Linked DNA regions of Lytechinus pictus. Each later gene encodes a partner of the first gene's protein in a complex. Links are inferred from orthologs where the notes say so. Each region holds a gene or a part of one and is shown in the gene's direction. Other genes may lie near its edges.

The links. The genes of interacting proteins can lie anywhere in the genome.
Region 2: mediator of RNA polymerase II transcription subunit 8-like (region 1) and mediator of RNA polymerase II transcription subunit 31-like share a complex: the UniProt entries of both Drosophila melanogaster proteins name them as parts of the mediator complex. The link is inferred for Lytechinus pictus from reciprocal best matches to the Drosophila melanogaster genes MED8 and MED31.
Region 3: mediator of RNA polymerase II transcription subunit 8-like (region 1) and mediator of RNA polymerase II transcription subunit 7-A-like share a complex: the UniProt entries of both Drosophila melanogaster proteins name them as parts of the mediator complex. The link is inferred for Lytechinus pictus from reciprocal best matches to the Drosophila melanogaster genes MED8 and MED7.

What each region holds. Positions count from the first base shown.
Region 1 is NC_087255.1:17,124,621-17,131,071, forward strand, and holds the start of mediator of RNA polymerase II transcription subunit 8-like, read left to right. Parts: upstream 1-2,208; 5' UTR 2,209-2,326; coding exon 2,327-2,332; intron 2,333-4,477; coding exon 4,478-4,596; intron 4,597-5,091; coding exon 5,092-5,126; intron 5,127-5,354; coding exon 5,355-5,464; intron 5,465-6,451. UniProt on the Drosophila melanogaster protein: Component of the Mediator complex, a coactivator involved in the regulated transcription of nearly all RNA polymerase II-dependent genes.
Region 2 is NC_087246.1:17,369,286-17,375,736, forward strand, and holds mediator of RNA polymerase II transcription subunit 31-like, read left to right. Parts: upstream 1-2,519; 5' UTR 2,520-2,527; coding exon 2,528-2,615; intron 2,616-2,915; coding exon 2,916-3,012; intron 3,013-4,537; coding exon 4,538-4,979; 3' UTR 4,980-6,223; downstream 6,224-6,451. UniProt on the Drosophila melanogaster protein: Component of the Mediator complex, a coactivator involved in the regulated transcription of nearly all RNA polymerase II-dependent genes.
Region 3 is NC_087254.1:21,136,456-21,142,906, forward strand, and holds the start of mediator of RNA polymerase II transcription subunit 7-A-like, read left to right. Parts: upstream 1-2,803; 5' UTR 2,804-2,976; intron 2,977-5,330; 5' UTR 5,331-5,335; coding exon 5,336-6,040; 3' UTR 6,041-6,451. UniProt on the Drosophila melanogaster protein: Component of the Mediator complex, a coactivator involved in the regulated transcription of nearly all RNA polymerase II-dependent genes.

The sequences.
Region 1 (6,451 bases):
CATCATTTGGTTAATGAAATACGTATGGTCCTAGTTATTTCTTAAAAAAAAAACCTTAGAATGCCCCACTTCCGGTCTGAATTATCTAAATTTTCAGCTCGCGCTTCGCGCTCGCATTGTTTAGCGAGACAGGTACCTATCATGATTACACAAATTTGATTATAATGTCCCTTTTTAGGAGAGAATATGAAAAAAATTTCAGCTCGCGCTTCGCGCTCGCATTATTTGATCAGTGAGATACATATCAGTTTAATGACATCGTCCTTAAAATGTCTCTATTAGGGCAGTATAACTGGTAACTGAGCGCGCTCACTATAGCGCACTCACTCAGTGATTCAAAATTTTTGCTGGTGCCCCCCCCCCATGCCGTGATCACGGTACGCCACTGTGGACATATCAATGGCAATTCCTTGCATATCTAAAAACATGATTGCAAAAAAAATGCCAAAATATTTCAGTCATCCCCCCCCCCCACCCATCAACACGGATTTACGCCAGTGCGCTCTACCAGTCAGCAAAGTGATGTACAAGTACTGCCCCGTTTCAGATCTGAAAAGAACAGAACACAACACTAAAAAACTGGTAACTCTGCAGTTGGCAAATTCATGAAGACAAGTCTACAACTTGTAGACTTGTCTACAAGTTTGCAGTTGGCAAAAAACACAAAAATGTTCTAAGTTATATTTACAAATTATGTCGCCGAAGAATTTTTTTTAATTTATGGTGTCAGAATGTGCTTGGGGTGGGGATGGGTGGGATTGGGGGCAGGTTGGGGTTGCATCATTCCTGGTGCTCGCATTGTCTGACTAATGAGATATATAGTCCTGTTGTATTTTAAGTCCATAAAGATTATGCACCAAATTATCTCCTCGCACTTCAAGTTATTATTGTTTTATGAAGTGACATCTGCTTTTTTCATGACTATATACTTAAGGTGATTGCCCCCTATTAAGGCCTTAATAAAACATTTCCAGTCTGTGCTTACGTTCGCATTGGTGTGGACCGATTTAGATACCGGGCTGGTATTAAATCAACACTGGCGTTTTTGCAGTGCACAAATTCCTAAAGACAGTCCTTAAAATGTTCCCTTTTCTGATCTAATTATAACAAATTTTCAGCTCGCGCTTCGCGTTCGCATCACTTAATTAGTGAAATAGTAAATTCCTACAAACAAGCCATAGAAGGTCCAAATTGAAAAAATTGTCAGCTCGCGCTTCTCGCCCGCAATATTTCATTAGTGAAATACGTATCATGTTAATGATTACAATGACCACAAAAAGTGCTTCATGTACCAGTGTAATTCTAACAAAATCAGCAAGCGCTTGGCGCTTTCATTAGATGACTATGATGAGATACGTACGCACTTCATAAATTCCAAAAGATAGTCCTTAAAATGTCTCTTTTTAGGGTTAAGTTAAACAAAAAATTTCAGCCCGCGCTTCGCGCTCGCATTGTTTGTTTTGTGAGACAGGTACGTATCATGATTACAAAACTTTGCTTATGTCCCTTTTAGGACTGAATATCAAACATTTTCAGCTCGCGCTTCGCGCTCGCATTATTTGATCACTAAGATACATATCCGTTTAATGGCACAGTTTTAAAATGTCTCTATTAGGTCAGTATACCTGGCAATTGAGCACGCTTCGCGCGCCCACTTAATGACTCAAAATTTTTGCTGGTGCCCCCCCCATGCCGTGACCCACGGTACGCCACTGTTAGCAGTACTTAGCACTCTTGAAATTTCAGTTGAGACATCTTGCACAGAAGGTCAATTAAAAATTAACAAATCTTTGATTTTCATATTATTAATGCATATGGGGCATTATACTGCAAGTTAGCAACATCGGCACACTATAGCCTTTCTATTTTGATCCAAAATGTTTATTTTCACAGTGCAAATATCTTTGTATATTTTTGTATAATTTACCTTAAAGTATTCACCAAATGCCACTAATTCAATTCTAAAAATTCAAAATCTTTTAGCATGTGATTATTGTGGGGGGGGGGGGCACATCCCCCATCTGCCCTGTGCTCACGTTGGCGCTGTCACGCCAAATGTAGTTGGCAAATTTAGCTGGTACACCCCCCCCCAACAAAATGCTTCTGGCTACGGCCCTGCCTGTATGGACCCTTCAATTCCTACGTTAATCACTGGCGTACAGGGGGGGGGGGGGGGGGGGGGGCATAGCTTTAAACGAGATCAGTGTGGACGCCCTCTGCGTTTGTTGACTGTCATCTGACGCTTGAAGAAAAGGAAAATAGCCCTGATAAACTGCCTCAAAAAGAGGCTTCTTTGAAGTGGTGTCGCGATATCATTTTCTTCAAAATGCAGGTAAAGTCGGAATTAATAGAATATATTTTTATTTTATGGAATTTAGGAGGCACACGTCCCATAATGAAGTCTAATTTTCCCTAAAACTTAATTCCAGTCCCTTTCGTTTAAATTTGCGTCTCCAAATCTGACTGTAAGTGCAACTGCAAGTAAGTAAGTTGAACTTCAAAGTTCAAGTAACCTATACGGTTACCCCCAAATTAAGATAATAATTAATATTGGCGAATGATACATCAAATGAAAGGTCTTTGCATTAGAAATGAAAAAAAAAGAAAATTCGTCCAACCGTTGAGGAATTATGGGTAATAAAATATCAAATTTTTCTACCGCAAAAAATGCCAAAATGTGATGGCATGACTGACATGACTGATGCCTCAAATTTTTTTGTGGTATCTAACGTTAGTCTAAATTATATATTACGTTTGAAAATTGCGCCACGTCATTCCAAGAATATTTTCCCTCGAGTCTTGCGAAACTTTTTGAGTCCAAATTTACAATACTAAGTAATTAGTATACTCTGGGGCCCGTTTCTCAACACATGGACAAGTTAGTCATATCTTTATCCACCAACCACGGAGTTAGTTCCAATCTTACTAAATCTGTTTCTCGAAAAGTTTCCTAACTAGAATACCTTGATATCGATACTATCGGTAGAAAGAGCAGACGAGACGTAGCCTTAGTCACAAAATAGCATTAATATTCAAAAAGAAAAATTATGACAAAATTGCAAATATTGTGATAAATTGGGAAATAAATATTTTCAAAATAATAGCACAGGTGAATTATGCATCATACATACTTAGACCATGAAGACTTGAGCATTCAATTGCAGAGAAAATGAAATTATGAATAATTCATTTCATGACTAAAAAATCACTTGTGGACGTTGAGATTGGGTACCCCCGGGATATCCAATTTTAATAGTTTACGAAAGTAAACCATAACGGTTTTCTTTGTAAAATGATGATAATTATGCGGTCTTTTACGATTCCGAACGTCATCAAAATATAGTTCAACAAAACATTTTTAACCATTAATACCATCATACCGGAACATACGATATTTGACAAATTATATGCATAAATTAGAGATAGAATTTATCCAACTGTTAATAGGGGTCTGAAAACAACAAATACGAGTTCAGTTATGGATGGCCTGACGTGGTAGAATATTTATCGATTAAATCATTTTACTATTTCAAAATGAATGGTTTTGTGGCGTTTTACCAATAGTTTTTATAGTTTCTTTGTATTACAATTATCATTGAATGCATTAACCCACTTGTTTTGTGATGTAACTTCAACCTCTATGATGATTACGTAAGATTATGATTTTAAAATTTCTATGCGCTTTTGCATGTCATAGTCTACCCACGTGATGCCACTACGTCATTAAGAAAGAAGTTATGACAGGTTCGGAGGTGTCATAAATATTTAGTGAGGTTGTTGTACCCGATCTTGGTAAAGAGGGCTTCGTGAAACGGTTAGCGGACAAGTAGCTCACTATCTCCGATTTAGTCAAGAAGTTAGACTTATGACGGTGTTGAGAAACGGGCCCCTGGTATGCGGATATATAGTAGGCCTAGCCTTGAAGTTGAGGACTCCATGATGATGTTTTTTAAATATTTTGACATATACTTCTTCATTATGGAGCCTTGACACTCTTTCCATAGACGCTGCAGTAAGACCTACACACCCGGATGGATTTCCCTAGGAAATCCATAGTTAAAAGGTGAAATCGGTTTGTAGAGGTGAATTTTATTTATCTATCAACCTTCATGCGCCTAGCCAGGGCAGGAGGCTTCTAGAGAGTAAAAATAATTTACTAACGTATACTTACTCTCCATGAAGCCAGGAATTCCTTTCCATTCATCTGCACGTACCGGCCAAAAACCTGAAACTTTCGCCCCTGAGATTTCTACTTCTAAAAGATCTAGCCCTAAATCATGCGCATGGGATACAACTTCATTTCCAACATTTCTACGCTATCAATTTTATTTTTAAACAAGAATTCATCCAAAAAATGAGAAAAATATTATAAAAAGACGGAAGAGACTTGCCCGATGTTTACGCCGCCATCTTGTTTCCTATTGTTCTTCCCCAACGTTACGGACGCGTCCGTCATTTTTTTCTTTTTTAATTTTAGAATCAAGACAAAGTTTTGGACAATTCTTTGGATTACATCTCGAGCAGAGTCAACGATTTGAAGAAGGCCCTAACAGACCTTCTCATGAAACTTGAACATCATCATGAAACTCTCAGTTGGTAAGTTAACACGACAGCATTATGACAATACTAATGAAAAAAAAAGAAAACAAACAACCAAAAGAAATTGAAAAAAAAATGGGTATATAATATTTTCACAGCTAAAAGCTCTCAGCCACAACTTTGTTTTTCTTAATCTACAGTTTGCACCCTTACAATATGTTGATTTTATTAAAAGAAAATAATGGCTTAAAAGAAAATAATTAAATAAATCAACCAAGTATAGCTAATGTGCTAATAAAATGCTCCGTTTGTACCACATGTATAATAAATTAAGTACCGGTATTTCAATTTTAAACCAATATATTGAATCAAAAAAAAAAAGTAAATTAATGCATGACTTTGTTCAATTTAAAGACATGAATATCCAAAATGGAATCTCAAAGTTTTCCTGTCTATTTTAATTGGTATGACCGCATTGTAGATACAGTATTTTCTCCGAAAAATTGTAGGGAAAATAGTCTAAATCTTCTATTAATCTATCTGTCTTTGCAGGCCATCTGTTCTCAACAGTTTTGCTCTATTATCAGGTATGTATTTTTTTCATTGGTCAAATTACTATAATTTCCGTTCATATTAAAGATGATATTACTCTAGCAAAGTTATTGAAAACTTTGGTTGCAGGCCAATGTATAATATGAATGTAATAATTTTTTGCTTTGTGTTATATTTTGGAATATCATGTTTGTAATATTCTGTTTGGTTTTAAGATGGTAGCATAATAAATAAAGCAATTAATATCTTATTTCAAATTACAGGTCAGATTAACACATTACATCGGCATCTCAAGAGTGATAAGACTCCAGCACTGAAGAACCTGATCATTCTCCCACTCAAACTATCACAAGATAGAGATGAAGAACTAGAGGTATGCATTTGCTTTCACAAACATTTACCTTCATTGGTGGAATACGCCACAAGGAGTGGAGATTGATACTAAGTCTAATGCAGGGCGCGACAAACCCGCTTGCCCGGGGCAAGTGAAAAGGACGTGCGGGCAAGCATTTCTCAAAGTCAATTGCCCGATCGGACAAGTGGTTGTTTTGGAAATAAAATACCAGTAGACCCTTTAAATTTCAATATCTTTTGGATAATCACAACTATCTCTCACTCATATTATGTCAAACCAGTAATAAAAAACAGTGGAAACTGATGTAAAATCAGCGCCAATTACCAATAATTTATCGCCAGGTACCTCGTTTGAAAAACCATGCCATTGCATCTTGCGTTCTATGTGTGCAATGACTGCGCATGCGCTACTATCTTGCGCAATTTGCCGATGCAAACAAACAACAAAAAAACACCAAAAGTGGCTAAAATTTCACATTTTGCAAAAATCCATGAAATGGCCATCTATTTTCCATTTTACCTTGAAATTGTTTTGATTTAGTTGGAAACTACTGAAAAAAATGAAGAATATTCAGCCCTATTTGACTCTCTTTCTTGATTCTGATTTATTATGATGTTACACTCGGTAAATGTTCTTTATTATTGTGGTCCCACATGTAGACTTTTATGGTGTTGACCAAGTGTAAAACGATCAAAACTGTTTAAAAAAAACCCCATGAAAGTCTACATGCGGGACTAGAATTAAACAAATATTGATCCAGTGTAACATCATAAAATGATGAAGAAAAGACAGAGACAGGTGAATATTCTTAATTTTCTTAATAGTTTCCAACTAATTTATTAAAAAAATTCAAGGAAATATGGGAAATAAATGACCATTTCATGGATTTAAAGATGCAAAATGTGAAATTTTAGCCACTCCACTTTTGAAAATTTTTTTTTTTACATCATAAAACGATCTTTTTCAGTGTCAATAAAGAGCTGAATACGCCCATTTATAAATGGC
Region 2 (6,451 bases), on another chromosome or scaffold:
AAGGCTTCTGATATTTAGATGCAAAATAGACAAGCAGGAAGAAGGTAAACCTTTGAAAATGTTTTTGGCTGAAGCCTGAGTGTAGTAGTTTGAGGATATGACACTCGAAGCCCCATCATTTGGATCTAAATCAATTTTAAGTTCATCATTGTTAGCTCCAATATCATTAATAACATCATTGGAATCATTGGAAATGTTCGTAATCATATCAAAGTCAATCATTATTTACATAAAACACCAGTATAATATAAACATATATGCGTAAGAGAGTTTTACTTAATTTTGTTCAGATCCTCTTCTCGATGAATTGCAACCGGTGGAACATTCGGGCTCTTCCTCACCAGAATGGTGCCATTCACTGTCCATAAGAACATGTATCCCGCCTTCTTTCTCTCGTCATTTGCCTTCTTCAGGAGAGACTTCTTAGCTGGGGCTAGATTTTCGTTGAGAAACACCTTTCCTTCATCTCTTGAGAATCCCAGTTGACGGGTTGATGTTTCCCTCAGTTTTTTCCGGCCTGAGTATAGAGTATCCCTCATCCTTCTGGTCGTGAATCTAACGATGATTGGTCTGGCTGGACCACCTTCTCTTCTCTGACCAAGTCGATGTGTCACATCAATGTCGTCGTTGGATACCTCTGGTGAAATTTTCTTCATGACGTGAAGGACAGCCTCCCTCACATTCTCACCTTCCTTCTCAGGAACACCTGCCACTTCTAAGTTGATCCTTCTGTGATATTGATCCAAATCATTCACTTGGTGTTCAAGTGTCGTCATCTTTGCTTTCAGATCCTCATTTTCTTTCTTCATAGAAGCATTCTCACTACTCAGCCTTTTCACCTCGCAGGTGAGCTCATCCACTTTATCGCTGAAGAACTCAGCAGATTTTCGAAGTTCATCTTGACCAGATTTAATTTCATTGAGTTGTGATGTTAGTGTTTTGTTTAGTTTTTGAAGTTCAGACTTGATTTCAATGAAATCTTCGAACGTTATGGACTGATTTTTCTTAGGTCCTGGCATACTCTGTTTATCGATGACGTCACACTGACCCGACCTGATTTGGATGAGATGGATGGAGATGGATGTTGCGCTTCAAAGATGCCTTTTAGCGTAAAGTCATATGCGTCTTAGTGATGCGCGTTAGTATCTCGCGCGTGATGTTGATTTTCAAACAAGATTGAATATTAAAATTGACGAAAATTAATGTTCTTACCGACGATAACGTCGCAGTTTTCAAAAGTCAAACAATAAAAATCACATCACTGGCTTTGGTGTCCAATTAGCTTTCACACAATGTAAAATGAAGCAGTCATTTCAAAGTATTTCCAAGTATTTGTTGACAATATTCAGAGCAAAGCAAAAACACGTCTTCTCCCTCCAAATTATTTATCACCTGATAAACAGTTTCTCCACCAAAATAATTACAAATTTAGCGGGAAATTTTGAGAATCGGGAGGAACAACAAATAACTAGATCTAGTTGTTTCAGCTTTCATTTTGAGTCTTGTTGTGATCGGTGCGAACTTGTAATGAGATGGGAGATGCCTGTGTATGATGCCACCGTTATTTCATCTAATTTTTAAGTTTGACAATGTTTCACTTTTAAATCTTATTCATTTCTAAAACATTTTATTTCTTAAAAATTGTAAGAATGTATTAAAAAACACCAAATATGATTTTTGTTAGATGATTGGATTTTTGTTGCTTGAAGTTTGAATTTTTTCCTCTTTCTTTCTTTTTTATCCTTCTTTCTTCTATCCTTCCTGCTTGCCCTTTTTTATTCTAATTTCTATCTTTATTTACTATTTTTCTTTCCAGGCTGATCCTTTCTCTCTCTTAATTTTTTCTTTCCTTCTTTCTCTTACTTTCCTTCTTGTTCCTTTTTAAATTTCCTTCATTCTTTCTTTCCTTATTTTTTTGCTTCCTTTTCTCCCTTCCTCTCCTTTTTCTTTTCGTTCTTTCTCTCCTTCCATTATTTTCTTTTTTTTTCATTCTAGCTCTCCTCCTTTCATTCCGACATTTATACAATATTTATTATATTTTAAAACATTAAAAAAAAAAAAAAATTATAATGAGAAGATGAGATCAAACTTACCGATGTTTACGTGGCCATCTTGTCCTCTTTGTTGGTAGCTAAGCTACGAGACGCATATAAAGGGCGGCAGATGTCTGCAAACAATTCACACACACATACAAAAGTGCATAATATATATGCGTGAGAGTTACTCCATTTTTATTGAGTCACTGTACTTGCATTACAATACTGTACAAGTGTACATTAGATAGTTTAATGTATTTGTAGAACAAGGAGAAAAAAGACAAAGGAGGACTGTCAAGTGTCAACATAAAAGAGTATATTGCTATAATAACGTCAAAAGAAAGTAAATTTTTTTATATATTTTGAGATTTTTTTAGCTGTAACGCCAAATGAAAATCAATTTTAAGTATCATAAAAGTAGATGTACATTAAGTGTATTTTCTAATCAGCTTCATCTTTATTCTTATTTTGTATATTTGTCTTATAAAGGAATGGAACCTCCACAAGACCAAGAGCAGATCCGATTTGAAGTGGAATTGGAGTTTGTTCAGTGCCTAGCCAACCCTCACTATCTTAACTGTAAGTATGAATAGTAGATACCTCTACTCTCTTAATGCAGTTCCTGAAATGTTCTTCAAATTCAGAATACTGGCTTACACTTAAAAAATCCTTACAATCTCTTCATATTTTATTGAACCATGTTGTTTTGGGACGGTACAAAACAAAAAAAATCCTTTTGATATTGTGTTAATAGTATATGCAATGAAAGAGATAGGAATTCTCACAATTGTTCATAGAATACTTGTTATAAATCTTTATACGTTGTGGTACATCCCTTATCTTCAATTATTATTCTGATATTTTTCTTTCATTTTACAGTTCTTGCCCAGAGAGGTTACTTCAAAGATAAAAAGTTTGTTAACTATCTTCAGTATCTTCAATATTGGAAGGAGCCTAAGTATGCCAAATATCTCAAGTAAGAATCAGAGTTTGATTGTAATCCATTTAAGACTTATTCAAATCAACTTTCTTTGTTTTCTTTTTTTTTTAACCCATAGAAGTATGCTTATACCATTACTCATTGAATATGATTTGGAAAATCTACTGTAGAATTGATACTTTTTCCAGCACAATATATGGTGCTATTCCTTCAAGAGAATGAAACCCTTGAAACCAGTTGAATTCATAGAAAAGAGAAAACTCTAAGAAATAGAAACAGAAAGCTTGAGGAAGTTTGAATGAATGATAAGAAAGTTATGAGCATTTGAATATTGAGATCACTAATGCTATGTAATGTCACACACATACAGTTTCCCCATGACTTTAATACATATCTACATGTAGTCTATCACAAGATTAGGTGTTCTTTTTATGAGAGGATACGTAATAGAGGTTTTCACAACATAAAATCCTAAATGTGTTGTTTGTCATATTATTAGAATGATAAAAAAGTGATCCTTGAGTATATTTCAGAGTTCTTTCTTTATGATTAATGATGAAGGAAACCTTTAGTAATTATTCCCAGACAGGTCTGAATGGCCTGAGTGTGAAATAAGCTGACAAATTGAATCTGTTTAAGAGAGATTTGTGTCATGATTGGCTATACATATTTGAAATATTACTTTATACCAGAGATCAAATTAGAACTGAATTCAGTATACAGACATTAGCTTAGTAACTACTATTTACATATAATTTCCAGGCTTGTTTGAAAGTCTTGTGCATCAAAATGAGTCAATAAAATTGAATTTGCTAAAATTAAGTGGTGCTAGAAAGATATACACATGTATACTGGTGAGCGTGTCTAAAGTCAAATCTCTAAAGGACTACAGGAATCAGTCCCTGTTCGAAATAGCAGAGGTACTAAATAGCACATGTTTTTGCGTTATCTGGTCTTAAGTAAATACCAACACATTAGAGATTGAATTTTGAAGACTTAAAGGGGAAGTTCACCCTGAAGAAAAGTTTATTGTAAAAATAGCAGAAAAAGTAATAAAAAATATTGGTGAAGGTTTGAAGATAATCCATCAAAGATTAAGAAAGTTATTAGAATTCAAAGTTTTGGATTTGTGACGTCATATGCGAGCAGCATTCCTACATAGCGAATGGTAAAAAATCAATGAAATGTCATTTTCTCAGAAAATTGAAAATGGTTTTACTGAGCCTTTTGTATATCAATAGACAAATCATTTCACACCCAATCATAAATAGAAAACAAAATAAAGTCATCAGGAACCATAAAAAATTTGAAATTCATTGATTTTTTACCATTCGCTATGTAGAAATGCTGCACGCATATGAAGTCACAAATCCAAAACTTTGAATTCTAATAACTTTCTTTATCTTTAATCCTCAAACCTTCACCAATATTTTTTATTATTTTTTCTGCTGTTTTTACAACAAACTTTTCTTCAGGGCGAACTTCCCCTTTAAATGTGTATGTAATACTTGATTGATTGATTTTTTTAAAGTGATCCATTTGTTACTTGTTTTGGTATTAGATTTCCACAATGTCTTCATTTCTTGGAGCTGTTGCAGTATGAACACTTTAGGAGAGAATTAGCCAATGCACAGTGTGTCAAGTTTATTGAGGATCAGCAGCTTCTGCATTGGCAACACTACACTCGGAGGCGTATGAGACTACAACAGTCTCATCTAGAGAACATGCAGCAACATCAACAACTCACCCAGCAACAGCAGCAACAAGGAGTCCCAGGAGCTGCCGGCGGAGTGGCAACAAGTGGGACTTCAAATCAGCCAGCAGGGATCATGCAAGCGCCCTTGCCACCTCAGCAACATCCTCATCAGCAGCAACAACAGCAGCAACATGCTTCACAACATCAGCAGCAACAACATCAACAAATGGCTTCACAAATGAGAACTGGTCAACAAGAACAAAAGCCATTACAACAAGGATCTACAACACAACAAACAATGAAATGATAATTAAGAATACAATCCCATTTATGCTTCTTCTGTGATGGCTAATACCTAGCCGCTGAAGTTAGCTTATGGAATTTCTTTGTATGAGAATATCAGAAGAAGATATTTAAAGACGTTGTTGGAAGAAAGATTGAACACCAAGTGGAGCTAAGTTGCATTACTTCCTACAGTTCAACCAAATTATTGTAGCCACATCGTCTAGTGGTTCAGACTTTTGACTTTCAATCTAAGGGTTGCAAGTGTACACCCACTCCAGGATGGTAATTTCCTTCAAGAAATTTGTCCACATGACCCAGGTGATGTACACATTTGGATGGTTCTGCTGGTAGAATTTATTCATTGAATGGACAAATCATATTGATGATGATTAATTGAACTAAAGCTGGAGTAGTAATATCTTTAGTTATATTAAAGTGCAAACATACTTTAGTTTATTATAGCTGAAGCAACCTCAGAGACCAAAAAAGCTACAATTTTAGTTAAATGTTGTATTTTTCTACACAGTAAACTCAGTTTTCAACAAGATATTGCTATATTTCTGATCCCTGCACTTAATCTCTGTTATAGAAAGTAATATCACCCAGTCCCCAAATTGCTGAATTGACAGCATCCTAGCACTTGACAGGGTGCATCTACAATGATCTGTTGTTTAAGCCTATTTCAAGTTTTGGTAAAAAAAAATTATGGTATTGAATTGAATAATGACTCTTGTTTGTCCTTTAAAAAAAAATAAAAATCTTTGGCTACTCAGCTGAATTAAATCTTGAGGTTAATCCAAGAATTGTGATGATCAAATTAAATTAATAAAAATGTATGAGTGATACTTGAAATTGGTTTTGATTTATATATTTTTATTTCCCTTTTGTACAGACAAGTTATGCATCAAAACTATCTTTTCTGAAATAAAAACAGCAATGAATTTTATGCACATGATATTATTGTGATGATTCCCAATGTCAAATGGAATGTTAATGTTAAGTTGAGCATCACAACCCCCCTTCATATCCTCCCAATTATGCATCCAGGGTTGATGCTAAGGTAATTTTGATGGGGGAGGGAAAGATGACCCATAAAGGGTTTATTATATTAATTTTTAATGAAGATAACCCATATTGCAAACTAGACGAAGTGGTGTAGACCAAGCATGCATACATCTATCATTTTCTCATGGTTACTTTGTATTATTTCAGAGAGGTATTCTCCCTGTCTCTATATTTTGTAAATAAATATCAACTGAAAATTTACATGGTATTGAGTTTGATGATACTTGACTTATTGATGGTTGTGACTGAAATCTTACTTGACCACGAAAGCCTTGAATAGAGACCAGCTCCTTCTGACCCTAGCTGTGTCCTGAACTACACATTATTTTGTATCAGTGTGTACATGTGTGTCTTTGCTGTGAGTAAATGTGAAGTTTCTGTGAGGTAAAATGTTTGAGTTGTGTTTTAGAATACCCATGTTGTATGTTT
Region 3 (6,451 bases), on another chromosome or scaffold:
TTCACTGCCGCTATTTAGTTGCAAAAATTGATGAGGTTCCACCTAAAGGAAATATTTCACCCTCTTTGTCTACCCCCTCCCCTACCAATAAAAAACCCCAACGATTAATTGAAAAAGGTTATTGAAAAGTTTTATTTGTTTGGAAATTCCTCATTTGCAATTGTATTTGTTATACTTCTGAACCAAAAATTTCTTTCATTGGGATGTCATGTACTCACTATTGTAACTTGGAAAAATATGCATGTCTGGCTGACAAGTTGTGCAATTAGAATTATTGGCCTTCTTATCATTTGTAAAAAAAATAATAAAATACTGTAATTCCATTTATTATTCATTTAGCAAATATATTCAATACTAATCATAAATTTCCAAGAATTGCTAAAATGGATCACAAAAGTGAAAAGGGGGTAATTTAATGGCCTAGGATTATTTCACGTTTGTGTAAATGTTCATCTTATATTGCCCTTACATTTGATTTTTTTTCTTCATTTTTTATAGTACCGTACCAATTCTGAATATCAATATTCATTTAACAGTACCTATCCATTATCCATCAATGTAAAGACTGGATATTGTTTTGTGATCAGTACAAATTTTGAAATAATAATATTCATATAATTACCATTGCTATGCATTCAGTAATAAGACTATGAATATTCATTTTTAAACAATATTTATCATGAATAGTAATGTGCCTACTCATGTCACAATACAAATATTTCATTTGCATTTTTATCTCTACGAATATGCATATTTTAAAGAGAACTGACATTCTTCGTTATCTTTATATTTTCAAAACAAAACCTCCCTATGAATATTCATTGTTGAACAGTAGATTTTACAGTTATTATTCTAAGTCTACTCTTATGTACTTCCAACAATATTTCTTATTTAATAGACATATGTTTGTAAGTACTTGTTATGTCTATTACTGCCTACACATTTCAAATATGTGTTTTATTTATTTCGGTGGGTGATGGGATTAATTTAATCAAAGTTATCTGGGGTTTAAATTCTTATAAAGTGCAATGGAATTGATTAGCAAATGTATTCTTCGTTTCAAATCAGGAGTTTTTTTTTTATCTTAATAGATTTGATTTTAGCCCTGTGATATGACATACATAAGTGTATTACAAAGATGATTGATTGTATGTGAAGTAATATTATTCAATGCATCTCTTTCTAAACTTCTAAGGCACAGTGAAACTCGACCCTTTTTTTACTTTAAAAATGTTCCCGATAATATGTTTACCATATTTTGTATGATCATTGGGCCAATGATAAATAAAAAATCTTCCATGTCTCTCACAAATGAAGTTCATTTGCATGGTGTATTTCTCCACATTCTGTGTCTGTATTGGCTTTGAAGTGTTCAGAGGGTAAAGTGTACAGTGGTGTTAAAAAGTTAGTGCACCCCACCAGAAAATGTACTCCTTTATGCTGAGTGTTCAATGGGCAATCCTTTTGATTATTTTATATATTCAACATATTTGCAATTCATTTTGTTTATTTCAATTGATGCCATCTATTTGTTATATATATAATATGTATTGTGTTTTTAATAATCATAAAATAAATAAACAAACTAACTAACAAACAATGGATACAGGAGCACTACAATGTTTAGCAAGCCCAGAGAAACAAACCTTATTGAATTTAATATTTTATCACCTGACTTCACAATTACAAATATGTCTTATACAAGGCAGAACTTGAGCACTTGAAATATATTCATTTTCTGGTGGGGTTCACTAAACTTTTTAGCACCACTGGATCTGGATGTATACGATGCAGGGCCCTTCTGGGCATAAACGCATCGGGTACTTGACCTGGATTTTTGCCGGGACCGGCAGGTGCAATACACCGGGTGAACACCCTACTCTTTGACGAATAGTGTATTGGTTTTAACGTGCATAGGTTGTACCTCTCCTATACACGGGACCAACATTTGCGTCCTTTCCGATGGACGGAGTGTTTTCCAACTGTATTCACACCTGCACTGAATACAGTGGTGAGGCACGCTAACACACAACGCTATAGCATCAGACTTTTTTTGTTAGACGCGTTTCGGCATGAGCGGGACTCGAACCCCTCACGTTGAGATCTACGATCTTATCCGAAACATGCGCTCTAACCGACTGAGCTACGCTGCCTCCCTACTGTATGTACATGTAATACATTGAAGGTCATGGCAGGAGATGGATATAGTGATCATTGCAATTAATAATTTCATAAGAGGGGGGAAAAGGAGGGAAAAGAAGAAGAGGAAGAATAAGATGATGATGGAGAAGAAGGAGGAGGAGGGAATGTGGGGACGAAGCTAGACAAGAGCAGAGGAGAAAACTCAGGATCACCTTATTTTCTTACTTTGGGAGGGGTCAGTCTAGAAAAGTACACAAAAACGTATATAATTTTCAAGACGACAAGTCCAGAAAAAAATAGATTCATGTTGGATTGTAGGTTACAAGGATAATGATGACAGCCAATGTAATATTTCTAGATGCTCAGCCAATTTAAAGAATTTAAAATTCAGAAATAAAGGAAAGAATAAACAAGGAATGGAAAAAAGAAGAGATAAATATATAAAGAAGCGAAGATCGGAAGATATTGAAAGAAAGGAAGGCAAAAAAAAGGAAAAAAAGTGATAGGGCTGGATACTTGTATAGGGTCGATTATCTTTCATTAATACTATTAAGTTAGATAAAGTCATGTTCTTGCAATCATACAGTATACAGCTTTTGAAAAAAATATAAATGCTAATTTTGTGTTCATGCATTATAACGAACACTGTAGCGCCATCTTTAGACGATTGTCATCCAAGCTAGCTAGCTAGCCGGCGCCGCGCCGAAGAGCTAGACTAGAGGTACGGCAGAAGAGAAATCTTCGTTTTTCCTTGCCTATTTCTAGTGCTGATCTGTTCGAAATTTGTTTCAAATTTTCAGTCTTCGAGTGGCTCAAACATCAATCCAGGCTAATGTGAGTTCATACGAAATTTTACGCTTATTTAAGTTATTTTAATGACTTGCCGGTGATCGATCACTGCGAGGCAAGTTTCATGTGTGCGGTATTTTATTGCAAGTTTCATGTGTGCGGTATTTTATTCCTTCGCCTGCCTGAACTTCCGGGGAGGAGTCTGGCTTGTGAAGGCTAGGCAAAGGCAGCTGCGTAATACTGTGTTGATTGTTAATCTGACTCTGAAGTTAGTGTTGCACATGTGCCTTAAATTACTTAGTTCAGGGGGGTCAAGAGTCAAGTATGACTAACTTAGGGTCGCATTTGAGTCGTCAACAGACGGCTGGCAGCCGTCTGTTTCGAGGAGTTTTTCTTTTTACATTGTTTTTTAAATTTCTCCTCGTACACAGTCACAGACGGCTCACGATCATGCAGCCGCCATTAGGGGTTTAACAATGCAAAATCCCCTTGACGGGGCTCATCGATTTTCGTCTTTATTTCATATTATGAAATTATATAATATAAATAAGAACTGGACCAAAATAAAGCCAGGTTATTATTCCATTTTGGCCTGAAATGCACCAAAATAGGAAAAAATTAAACTTAAAAAAATAAAACTAAAATTAAAAAAGGAAAAAAACAACAAAAACAGTGACTTACATGGAGTACTTCAGCTGTCGCGCAACTCCCACTTCCCTGGTTTATACAAACTTAATACATAGTATGGCCATTGGCATTGAGTCCCTGTACAGATCGAGTTAGAACTTCGGTCTCTGTATAAATTGGTGAGTGGATCGAGCCAACGGAGTTCAGCGGAACAACCAATATAACAGAGACCAGTGGCGTAACAGGCGGGGGGGGGGGGGGGGGGGCCCTGGCGGATTTCACCGGGAAAATAAAAAAAAACAGGGAAAAGAAAAAAAGGGAGGGAGAAGGAAAGGGGGAGGAAAGGAGGAAAAGGAAAGGGAAAAGAAAACGAAGATTTTTTTTTTTTATGGAAAAGGAAAAAAAGCGGGAAAAGGTGCGAAAGAAGAACATTTGACAAAGAACAAATCATTCCAAAATAGGCTTATGTGATGCAATAGCATGATGGGAAATAAATTAAAAGATGACAAAATGGCAAACAATAGCGGGAAACGAAGGTACATTGTAGAATGGAATAAGTCAAAAGCTAGATAAGAAAAAGAAAAGGGACAAGAAAAAGAAAAACGATAACATGACCGGGCTGCCAAGGATTGAAAATAAAGAGCGAGAAGAAAGATGGACTGCACACAACATTGTGCTATACATGTAAGCTTGCTAAATTTTATGCAAATAAGCTACCGGGGCTTTGCAGTACCCGCAGTAGGGGCTCTTCATCTATAACCATCAAATGGCTCTATAACGCCCCCGTTCAATGACGTTCAATCACTGGCATACAGGCGCGGGGGGGGGGGGGGGGGTCTTGGTTCCACACCCAAGAGGAAATAAAATAAATTTTAGGAGACAACGTATAATGAAATGAATGGAAACAATGAAATGTGTTATTTGCTGAATATAATGGAAAAATCTATCACATAATTAGAATTTAATTTCAATAGGCAATTTTTTTTTCCAGCTCGCTTTGCACGCTGGCGACTTAACAAATTCAATTCACTTTACTCGCATCCGGGAAAAATTTGGCTCTTGCCCCCCTGGCCCGCGACCCCTGTTACGCCGCTGACAGAGACCAAAGCCTTTGGTCCAAGTTGTCACATGCGGTATACATCATCAGGTCTAGCCTAGGTCTAACGTTACATGTAAAGCCAGGCGTGACTACATTTGTCAGATCATGCCAAGAGGACGCGCACTACGTATTGTCTATTGATCAATAGGATTGCGCGTTTCATTGCGACTTTAACTTTTAAGTCATACAGTTAAATCTTTGTGAAACACCCCCCCCCCCCCCCCCCCCGCGGATTTAAAAAAAAGTTCAAATGGAAATTTGATCTTTTTTTAAATTCAATTTTTACGTCAACTTAGGCCATGTATTTGGCAAAGACAAAGTGTGACTGAGTATTAAAACAATCAGCATAGAGATCGAAGCAAGAATATAACTTTTCCCTGTGTGGCTGAAATTCAGGTGATTAATGCATTTTTTTTTGGAGAGAAAAGCTTTGCAAAAATTGATCTCAAATGAGTTTGCTAAAAATAGGCATTTGAATTGGGCTGGCTATGAAAGTATTATTTTTACCAATTTACCATGCCAAATACATTAATCATGTACCGGCAACAGAAATTGAAAGGAAATAAGATGGAAGAAATTAATCAAATAAGATTTAAAACATTTCCACACTATAAGATAATTGGCACTTTCTTGATAATATTGTTAACTTATTTTCCCTCTTATTTTTCTGCAGACAACATGAATGAACCACAGGGAGTAAGCTCTCTCCCTCTCCCTCCAATGATGTATATTGCTAACTACACTGATGAGCGAGTACTCAACAAGACCACGCCTAAACCTCCTCTACCCGTACAAGAAGCATATGGAATGTTTGGAGCCACATTCGTTTCCAATGATGATATCATTCGTCCTCTCGAGTCGCAGGGTTTGAAGCGTCTTCATCCGCAGCGGTTCGACCACAAGAAGGAGCTAAAGAAAATCAACCATTCCATTCTTGTGAACTTCCTCGACCTCATAGACACACTTATCGTCTGTCCGAACGGGCCAAGGAGAGAGGAAAAGTTGGACGATATGAATCTCCTCTTCATTCACATGCATCATTTGATCAATGAATTTCGTCCACACCAAGCCAGGGAAACGCTGCGTGTCATGATGGAGGTGCAGAAACGACAGAGACTTGATACGGCAGAACGTTTCCAAAAACACTTGGAGAAGGTGACGGAGATTCTTCAGGGGTGTTTTATGTCGTTACCTGACAATGTTGAGAACATTGATAGCAAAGTTGCTGTTAAGATAGAACCAGAGGCAGCTGAGATGATGGCCAGGGTAAAAGGAGATGATGTTGTTGTCAAGAGAGAAGTTGAAGATAAGGTTGATAAAGAAAAGAATGAAGGATCTCGCTACAAGGATAAACTCATGTGTGATCTTATTGATGCACTCTGAATATAGACATATTTTTTGTTGGACAAAGATACATATTTGAATATTTTGTTTTGTACAGTGCATAATAGGAGTGCATAATATTTATGCTGTTTCAAAGGGCATTGCTTTGACTCCAGTAGTGCTTTCAGATGCTTGGGCATATTCAAGTTTTCTAGTTCACATTTTCTGGGTCAACTCCAGCACTCCCAGCAGGATGTGAATGCTTTTTATTTTGCTGAAAGAATCAGCACAGTGGCTTGGATTTGAACCCATGTCCCTCTGATTGAAGGTCAAGGGTCAGAAACCATACTATATCATGACACTATTTTAGGGATATCTTGACTGATCAAATAATGCAATTTCCACTGGATGGTTACATGTATATTCACATGTATTGTTTATTCACCTGACAGTTTCAAATGCTGTCAGTGC